Linked DNA regions of Coturnix japonica. The protein of the gene in region 1 purifies or fractionates together with the protein of each later gene. This does not show direct contact. Links are inferred from orthologs where the notes say so. Each region holds a gene or a part of one and is shown on either strand. Other genes may lie near its edges. The genes, in order: CEBPA and MRTO4.

The links.
Region 2: the proteins of CEBPA (region 1) and MRTO4 purify together in Homo sapiens (affinity purification with mass spectrometry; 3 studies listed by BioGRID and IntAct, with this or other methods). This does not show direct contact. The link is inferred for Coturnix japonica from reciprocal best matches to the Homo sapiens genes CEBPA and MRTO4.

Annotation. Positions count from the first base shown.
Region 1 is NC_029526.1:8,911,475-8,915,905, reverse strand, and holds CEBPA (CCAAT/enhancer-binding protein alpha), read left to right. Parts: upstream 1-1,425; 5' UTR 1,426-1,843; coding exon 1,844-2,818; 3' UTR 2,819-3,953; downstream 3,954-4,431. UniProt on the Homo sapiens protein: Transcription factor that coordinates proliferation arrest and the differentiation of myeloid progenitors, adipocytes, hepatocytes, and cells of the lung and the placenta.
Region 2 is NC_029536.1:4,063,614-4,068,067, forward strand, and holds MRTO4 (mRNA turnover protein 4 homolog), read left to right. Parts: upstream 1-1,561; 5' UTR 1,562-1,658; coding exon 1,659-1,686; intron 1,687-2,238; coding exon 2,239-2,297; intron 2,298-2,364; coding exon 2,365-2,468; intron 2,469-2,560; coding exon 2,561-2,642; intron 2,643-2,769; coding exon 2,770-2,837; intron 2,838-2,988; coding exon 2,989-3,140; intron 3,141-3,387; coding exon 3,388-3,464; intron 3,465-3,595; coding exon 3,596-3,766; 3' UTR 3,767-3,920; downstream 3,921-4,454. Other genes in the region: EMC1 (ER membrane protein complex subunit 1), read right to left, coding at 1-34, 173-299, 433-561, 739-832, 918-983, 1,255-1,379, 1,451-1,551; AKR7A2 (aflatoxin B1 aldehyde reductase member 2), read right to left, coding at 4,411-4,454. UniProt on the Homo sapiens protein: Component of the ribosome assembly machinery. Nuclear paralog of the ribosomal protein P0, it binds pre-60S subunits at an early stage of assembly in the nucleolus, and is replaced by P0 in cytoplasmic pre-60S subunits and mature 80S ribosomes.

The DNA.
Region 1 (4,431 bases):
GTTGTGGGGCTTCTTTGGAGATATTCAAGACCCATATGGACGCCTACCTATGTGACCTGTATGGAACCTGTGTAGTTGGTTGTATGGGTTGGGCTCTGTGATCTCTTCAGGACCTTCCTGACCCCTGCAGTTCTGTGATGCTGTGATTTCTGCTCACATTGAAGCATCCCAGATTTCTGTCACAGGTCAGGGGATTTTATTCTCTATCAGAACTTTGGAGCTCTTCCATATGGGCACTTTGCTTGATCAGGCAGTGCATACCCTTTGTACCCACTGTTATGTGCTGAAACCAAAGTATATCATAATTTCAGAAGATACCATATATAAAAAGCAGTTAGGATTTATCTTTTCTGTTGACATTGAAAGGTGAAAAGTATGTTCATAAATCATAGATTCTGTGTGTTCTGTATTCTATATGGATGTTTCCCACGAGACACTCACAGCAGGCTGTGCTGGCTGCACCTCACGTCTGTGGCTCACGTGTGTGACCCCAAAGGTGGCTCTTGGTTCGTGGTGGTTTTGTTCCTAAGGCTTTGCCAGTCACTGTGAATTGCAAGGAACTCTGAGCAAGCAGTCTGATATCACAAGCTTCTGGTTCATTCAGCCCTCCAGGACTAAGAAATGTGGCAATTCTTTCTGTAGCCATAGCCATACTGGAGTTTTCTCTGCCGATCTCCCTCGCTCTCCCCTGCTTCACTGCCCTCGGTGCGTCCCTCCTTCCACTGTGCTGCTTTCCGAGCGGCCCGGCCCAGCGGATCTAAGGGCCGGCAGTTGGGGTCGGCAGGTCCGGCTGGACGGGGAGGCGGCAGCTCCGTGCCCCGAATCCGTCCCGTGCAGGGAGCGCGGGTCCCTCGGGCCGCGTGTCTCCCAGCAGCTGCTCGGGCCGGACTCGGAGCTGAGCCCCGGCGTTTCGCCTTCCGAGCGGCACGCTCGGGTTTATCTCGGGTAAACGCCGGGAGCCGGTCCACGCCCGACACAGCCCGAGATTGCGGTGTTTGCATTTGGGGAAATCCGTGATTAAATTTACCTGCCCGATTCGCGCCGCGGGACGGGACGGGACGGAGATGCAGCCCCGTGCGTTCATCCCCCACCGCCCGCGCACGGTGGGAGCCGTGGGACAGCGGCAGCGCGTCCCGGCCCGGCTCTGCCCACGGCCCCGTCCCGCAGCGCCGAGCCCCGCAGCCCCGCCCCGCAGGGCGCGCTCCCGGTCGGGTCCCAGCGCCGCTCGGGGCCGCGCTCCGCGGGTCCCCACGGGGCTCAGCTGGTGAACCCAGCGCGTCGAACCGGGCCGAGCTCCGGTAACTCCGCTGGGACGGCGCCTTGGGCCCCGGGGGCGGGCACCGTGCGCCATCCAGCCCGGCGTAATGGTTCGCGCGTAATGGTGAGCTGCGGGGCTGCTCCCCGGTGGAACGGGATCGGGCGCTGCGGGCTCCGAGCCCCCAGAGCGGGGGGGCGGGCGGAGCACAGGGACCGGGCAGGGCTCGGTGAGAGCGGAGCTCCCGAGGGAGGGCGGACGGCCGGGCCGGGGCGCTAAGACCCGGGGCGCGGTGGTCAGAGGTTCCCAGCAGGACACTAGAGGGCGATCCCCGGCCCTGCTGCGGGGGTGTATATATACGGCACGCAGGACCGAGGCAACCCACTAGGAACGGGACAGGCAGGCAGGCGGCGAGCGGGGCTCGGGCGGGCTGGGGCGGGGGACGGGCTCCGGGCGCGCCGAGCGGAGCCGCTTCGAGCCGAGCCGGGGGAGCGCGGGGTGCTGCGGGCTTGGCAGAGCCGCCGCCGCCCCGTCCGAACCCTGGATTGCCGGAGCCCTTCACCATGCCCGGCAGGCTGTAGGTGCTTCATGGAGCAAGCCAACTTCTACGAGGTCGATTCCCGGCCCCCGATGAGCAGCGGCCAGCACCACCAGCTCCAGACTCCCCTGCCCGGCAGCGCCTACGGCTACAGAGAGGCTCCCTCGGCGGCGGCACCTGCTGCGGGCGGCGCGGAGCTCGGCGACATCTGCGAGAACGAGCACTCCATCGACATCAGCGCCTACATCGACCCCGCCGCCTTCAACGACGAGTTCCTGGCCGACCTCTTCCAGCACAGCAAGCAGCAGGAGAAGCACAAGGCCGTCCTGGCCGGGGATTTCGATTTCCACAGCATGCACGGGGCCGGCGCGGCCGCCTCGGCTCCGGGGCACCACCCGCAGCACCAGCAGCAGCCGCTGTTCGGCTGCGCGGCCGGCTACATGGACGGCAAGCTCGACCCGCTGTACGAGCGCATCGCCGCGCCGGGTCTGCGGCCGCTGGTCATCAAGCAGGAGCCCCGCGAGGAGGAGGAGGTGAAGGCGGCGGCCCTGGCGGCCCTCTACCCGCACCCGCAGCAGCACCCGTCCCACCTGCAGTACCAGATCGCCCACTGCGCTCAGACCACCGTGCACCTGCAGCCCGGGCACCCCACGCCGCCCCCCACGCCCGTGCCCAGCCCGCACCACCCGCACCATCCGCACCCCCCGGGCGCGTTGCCCGCCGCCCCCGGCGCCCTCAAGATGATGCCCGCCGACCACCGCGGCAAATCCAAAAAGACAGTGGACAAGAACAGCAACGAGTACCGAGTGCGCCGGGAGCGCAACAACATCGCGGTGCGCAAGAGCCGGGACAAGGCCAAGCAGCGCAACCTGGAGACGCAGCAGAAGGTGCTGGAGCTCACCACCGACAACGAGCGGCTGCGGAAGCGGGTGGAGCAGCTCAGCCGGGAGCTGGAGACTCTGCGGGGCATCTTCAGGCAGCTGCCCGAGAGCTCGCTGGTGAAGGCCATGGGCAGCTGCGCTTAGCCGGGCCCTCCCGCTGCTCCGGGCGGTCCGAGCGGTGCCGGAGCGGGCTCAGATTGTGGGGGGTGGGCTAGTTTGTTTTCCCTTTTTTTTTTTTTTTTTTGTTTCTTTTTTTTTTCTCCCCGACAATAATGACCAATAAAAGAAGCCAGGCAGCTGTAGTATTACCAGGTCGGTGCCTTAGGGTTGACACACGAATAAGCTGAAAAACGTGGTGGGTTTTGTAAGGAGAAAGGAGAGGGGAAGGAAGAGATTAAACAAAAAAGCCCACGTGTCTACACAGGGTAAATGACAATAATAATAGTAACAGTAATAAAGCACATAGAGCAGCCCAGATGTGCCTTAAAGCTGCCTGCAGGAGGTCCGTGCCCTCAGCCCGCCGAGGAAGGAGCGCGGGGACGTGCGGGCTGCGGGGCCGGAACGGGGACGGCGGCGGATGCGGAACGGCAGCGGAACCGGGACCGTCAGCGGGACGGGACGAGCCGAGCGACGGACATCGGGACCCACGGCCAGCCGGGTTCGCGGACAGCCCGTCCCGGCAGCCGGACAGTAGGGCCGAGGGCGGCCCGGCGGAGCTCCCTGCGCCGACGGGGAGAGCGGCGGCGATTCGTACTGTATGTCACGACATGGCGAAGCACAAGTGAATAAATACCTATCGATGCGGGTATTTACTACGAACTCTCAGCGTATTTTGCTTTCTCCCAGGACATTCAGCTCCTCTCCGCGTCTGTGTCTGCCCAAGCTGTGCCTCATGTAATGTGAAAGCCTTTCCGTGTATACTAGCTACACTATTTTTATCGCGTTACTTAGATCTTTGCCATCACACCACTTTCTTATCTGGTGACAGAGACTATGCCCTCGTGCTGCAACGTTATTTTATTATTTGTGTGGGTGGGTGGGTGAGTGCGAGCTGCGCTGCTGCGGGCGGCCGCGGCCCCGTCCGGCCGGGGGCAGCGGGAGGGCAGCGCGGGTGCGTGCGGGGCGCGTGTGCGGCGTGCGTGTGCGGTGGGAACGTGGACGTATATGCACACATCGGTGTTCTGTTTTTGTTTTTTATAATTCGGGAGGGGACCGCATATACAGTTTTGTCGGATAGTCCTGGTTACATTCATAATAAACAGCATATACTCTGCCATCACCGCCCGCTGCGTGTTCCAGTGCTCGTCCCGGGGCCGGCCGGCTCTGAGCCCCTTTCGGCACCGCGGCCCGGGCCGCCGATCGCTCCCGTTTGCCCCGTTCGTGCGACGCCTTCGGGAGGCGGCGGTGTGTCTGTGTCTGTGTCTGTGTCTGTGTCTGTGTCTGTGTCTGTGTCTGTGTCTGTGTCTGTGCCGCGTGCAGGTGCGATCCCGCCGGGCGCTGCGGGGCCGGGGCGGAGGGAGCGACCGGGTGGGACGCGACGGCGTCGGGACACGCGGAGACGCCGCGCGGCCGCTCGCGGTGCCGGACCCCGCCCCTCCCCCGGGGAGTTTCGCCCCGGCCGGGCACACGGACGCCGCTCCGGGGCTCGACGCGGCACGACCCTCCCCCCTCTCCTTCCCCCCCGGGGTAACGGCTACCACGAGGCACCGGGCAGCTCGACCGCCGGCCCGAAAGGACGACCCCGCCCCGCCTCGGCG
Region 2 (4,454 bases), on another chromosome or scaffold:
TTAAGCTCTTCAGCCACGGGGCTGCTACTTTGGTCTGCCAAGAGAGACATCAAGAGATGAAGACGTCAACAGCATGATGATGTTTAAGGAATGAACTTACATACACAACTCCATGCACTGTGTTTGTTCATATCAAATTTGCCACATTGGATCCACAATCGAGCACAACTACCTGTTCTATGACTTCTCCATCCTCCACACTGAGCGTTAACACCTTCAGATGGCTCTGGGGGACAACTCCGAGCACATGGATCACTCCAGCCCCACGGGAATACAACATCTGGTATCGAGTATCCTCACTGTGCGAGAAACAAAGGGCACGAGGCATCGTTTGCTCGTCTTATTGCTTCCAAAGCTTTTCAAGGACATGAAGCATCCTGAGTTGGGCTGTGAGTCTGAACTTTCTTTCTTCAGCTCCAAATACATCCTCACCTTTCAGGCAGCTGTTCCACCCACTTCTGGTGCCCGTTGGACAGGTAGTGCAGGGAGATGGCCGCCTTCTTCAGCACTGCCACGTACTTCACCGCGTCCTGCAGCCCCACCAGACTCGCGGCCTGGAAACTGAGCACAGGTCAGAGATGGTTGATTAGAGAATGATCTGTGGGCTCTCAAACAGGGGGAGCTGTTGGATACAACCATCCAGATTTTCAAAGCCTGATGTCCAAACTGCTGTACTGCAGACAAGGTACGTTAAGCTTACTAACTAAATACTGACTTATCCCTGGTGCCCAGCGCTACCTGCCCGTGTCCAGCGACGTCTCCCAGTTCAGCCCTCCGATGTTGGTCTCCCAGGAGCGCAGGATGCGCCCGGCGCTGGATACGGTGATGGCATCTACACAGGGAGCAAAGGGAGCTGAGCCCAGAGCCAGGGCATCCAACACGGGGAGCAGAGCAGCTGCTGTGTGTGATGTGCTCACCTTGACCATGGATCAGCATCGCGTCGATGGCTCCTTCAGGGCCGGCCTTGTCTGCATGGCGCCACACTGAGACACAGAGCGAGAAGGAGATGGGCACAATGAGGATGTTGCTGACTGCTCTCAAACCCACGGCCCTGGGACCTCCCAAAGAGCCTCACTGCAAAGAGCCATGTCCTCACTGCAAAGAGCCATGTCCTCACTGCGGGAGCTGCAGCTTGGATTTCAGGGCCAACATCCCCCTGAAGGAGCACTGATAACTGGCACACATAGGCTTGGTGTCACCCTCATAGTGGATATACAGCACTGTGGGCTGTGACCCACACCCCGCCCCACTCACGGATGTCTCCGCTGCGGGAGTTGAGCGCAGCCACCACGTTCTTCTCGGTTCCCACCAGCAGCTTCTTGGAGCCCTGCGAGGCCTCCAGCGAGGCGAACTTCAGCTTCCCCACGTACTGCTGCCTCCTGCGGGGACGGGCAGCGTTACACGGACACGAGCCGTGGGTTTAGCCCCGCATTGACAGCCCGGCACTCACCAGTCGAACTTCCCCACTTGATCCTCGTACACGGCGGCCGCCAGCGGCAGCAGCAGCACCCACAGCCCGGCCGCCATGACAGCGCCGGGACCTCCCCGCATCACGGGGCTGCCCTGCGCTGCGCCTGAACGGGGAGGCACCGAGCGGGGCAGCCCGCACATCCCCAGCAGCACCCGCGGTGCCGGGGGGCCTCGAAGCACGGGGAGCCATGCCGAAATCCAAGCGGGACCGTAAGGGTGAGTGAGCGGCTCATGTCGCGGCGTTCCGTCCTCCCCTTCCCCATTAACCATTCAGGGGGATGGAGCACCTCCCCTATGAGGACAGGCTGAGCGAGTTGGGTTTGTTCAGCCTGGAGAAGAGAAGGTTGCGGGGTGACCTCATTGCAGCCTTTCAGTACATGAAGGGAATCTACATCCATGAGGGGATTAAGCTCTTGGAAAGGGCTGACAATAGCAGGACACGGGGAAATGGTTTTAAGCTTAAAAAGAGGGAAGATTTTAGGTGGATGTTAGGGGGAAGCTCTTTCACTAGAGATGGTTTAGGCCTGAACAGGCTGCCCAGGCAGGTTGTGGATGCCCCGTCCTTGGAGGTGTTCAAGGCCAGGTTGGACGGGGCCATGGGCAACCTGATCTATGGGGTCTCTATGGGGTCTATGGGGTCTCCTGGGCAACCTGATCTAGTAAAGGTGTATGTTTGGTGGCCCTGCCAGGCAGGGGGGTTGGAACTACACGATCCTTGAGGTCCCTTCCAACCCGGGTCATTCTGTGAACCACGTCCCCTCCCCGCAGTGTCCCTGACGCGGACGCCTAAGAAGGGACTGGAGGCCAAACAAGCGCTGATCACGGAGGTGAGTCGTGCCCAGTGCGCGCTGCCCCGCTCCACCCCATTAGGCCCCGCTAACCGCTGTCGTGCAGCTGCGGCGATGCGTGGACACCTACAAACACATCTTCATCTTCTCCGTGGCCAACATGAGGAACAACAAGCTGAAGGACGTGAGGAACGCATGGAAACACAGCAGGTGAGCAACGGGATGGGGAGTGATGGAGAGGGGTCAACCCCATCATCATCACCATCATCATCATCATCATCTTCCTCTTGGTTGAATTGTAGGATCTTCTTCGGGAAGAACAAAGTGATGATGGTGGCGCTGGGCCGGGAGCCAAGCAGCGAATACAGGGAGAACTTACACAAGGTGGGAGGGAACTCGGTTAGAAACAACCGGCACAGCTGTCCGTAGGGGGGGGTTCATCCATGGAGGTGATGAGGGCATTTCCAGCCTTAACTCTGAGTCTCAGCACCTCTGGGCTCCTTTATCACAGGTCAGCGAGCACCTGAGGGGTGAAGTTGGTCTCCTCTTCACCAATCGCACCAAAGAGGAGGTGGATGAGTAAGTATGTGTGTGTGACCGAGCTCATCGCAGCTCATTGTAAGTCCAAAATGCACAACAGGCTGTTCCTCACCTGCTCTGTCATAAAATACCCCCAACCCCCAGCAACCTGCACAGTGCCTCCATTCCTGTGTGTGCTCATCTCCCTCAGGTGGTTCTCCAACTTCAGGAAGGTGGATTTTGCACGAGCAGGGAACAAGGCGACCTACACAGTCAGTCTGGACATGGGGCCCTTGGAGCAATTTCCCCACTCCATGGAGCCTCAGCTGCGGCAGCTGGGATTGCCAACAGCTCTGAAGAAAGGTACACGGTGTGAGGGAGCTGCTTCCCTTTCTCTTCCATTGTGCCTATGCAGTCTGTTAAAAAGAACATTCTGTAGGCATTTAGGGTTGAGTTTTGGAGCAAAGCTGGTGCTCAAAGCCTTATTTTCTTCCTGTTGCACCACCTGGCTGCTGCCATAGGACGGGAGGCAGCCTTGTGCCCTCCTGCAGTGCTGATCCACTAACAAGCCAGATTATGGGGTTTTCTTCCCCTGCTTTTGTTCCTGCAGGAGTGGTGACGCTGCTTTCAGATTATGAAGTCTGCAAAGAAGGGGATATTCTGACCCCCGAGCAAGCGCGGGTCCTGGTGAGCAATGGAACACAATGGAACACAGGCACTGGGACGTGCACTGTTCCATGTGGTTCTCACAGCAGCTCATCTAAGAGCTGCACTGTTACGATAACCAGGTGGGATGATGAGTCTGTGTCCTTTCCTAGAAACTCTTTGGCTACGAGATGGCAGAGTTCAAAGTGACCATCAAATTCCTGTGGAGTTCGGAGACGGGCGACTTTGAGAAGCTGGCGGGAGATGGGGAGGATGAGGAGGAAGAGGAGGAAGAAAAGGAAGAGGAGGAAGAAGAGGAGGACGCTGACATCAATGAGGACTAGCAGCAATCCTTGTGCTTGGACACTAAGCTCTATTTTAGAGCTGAAAGATGAGGATGTTTTCCTTCCCTGCCTACAGGAGGACACGATTAACTCATTATTCTTAAAGGTGATCTAACTCCACCATTTTTATATAAAAATATCTATAAAACCCTCAGATATTGTTGGTGCTGCCTGTTGACACTTGAGTGAGGAATGGGGGATCCATTTCAGGCCCAGATTGGCCTCCACATGTGGAGCCAGCACTGCCCTGCCCAGGGGTTCTACGTCATGAGGTTCAGTTTTAGCTCTGCGGGCATTTTAGCTCAGGTTTATTTCTGAGCACATTAAAGCTCTGCTATAAAGACACAGCGTCTGCATTAGAAAAAAAATGGTTTATTCTCATCCACGCTCAAGATTAGTTATTAACTGAGTGCAGATCTAAAGCCTTCCTTTGATTAAGTGCATTTTGAAATCACAGCATAGATCAAGGTCCCCAAGGGGAGACAGTGTAAGGCATGGCCCCACCTGTAGTGCTGGTAGCAGTAGTGTAGGCACAGGAATGGCTGACCCTACAAAGCTTCATTAATAGGACAAATCACAGCCATAGGGCAGTGTGGGTCAGTACCTCCTGCTCTGCTCCTCTGCTGGCACTTCCCTCTCTGTCTCTAGCGGAAGTAATTGGGGCAGTCGTGTGCAGTCAGATTCCAGG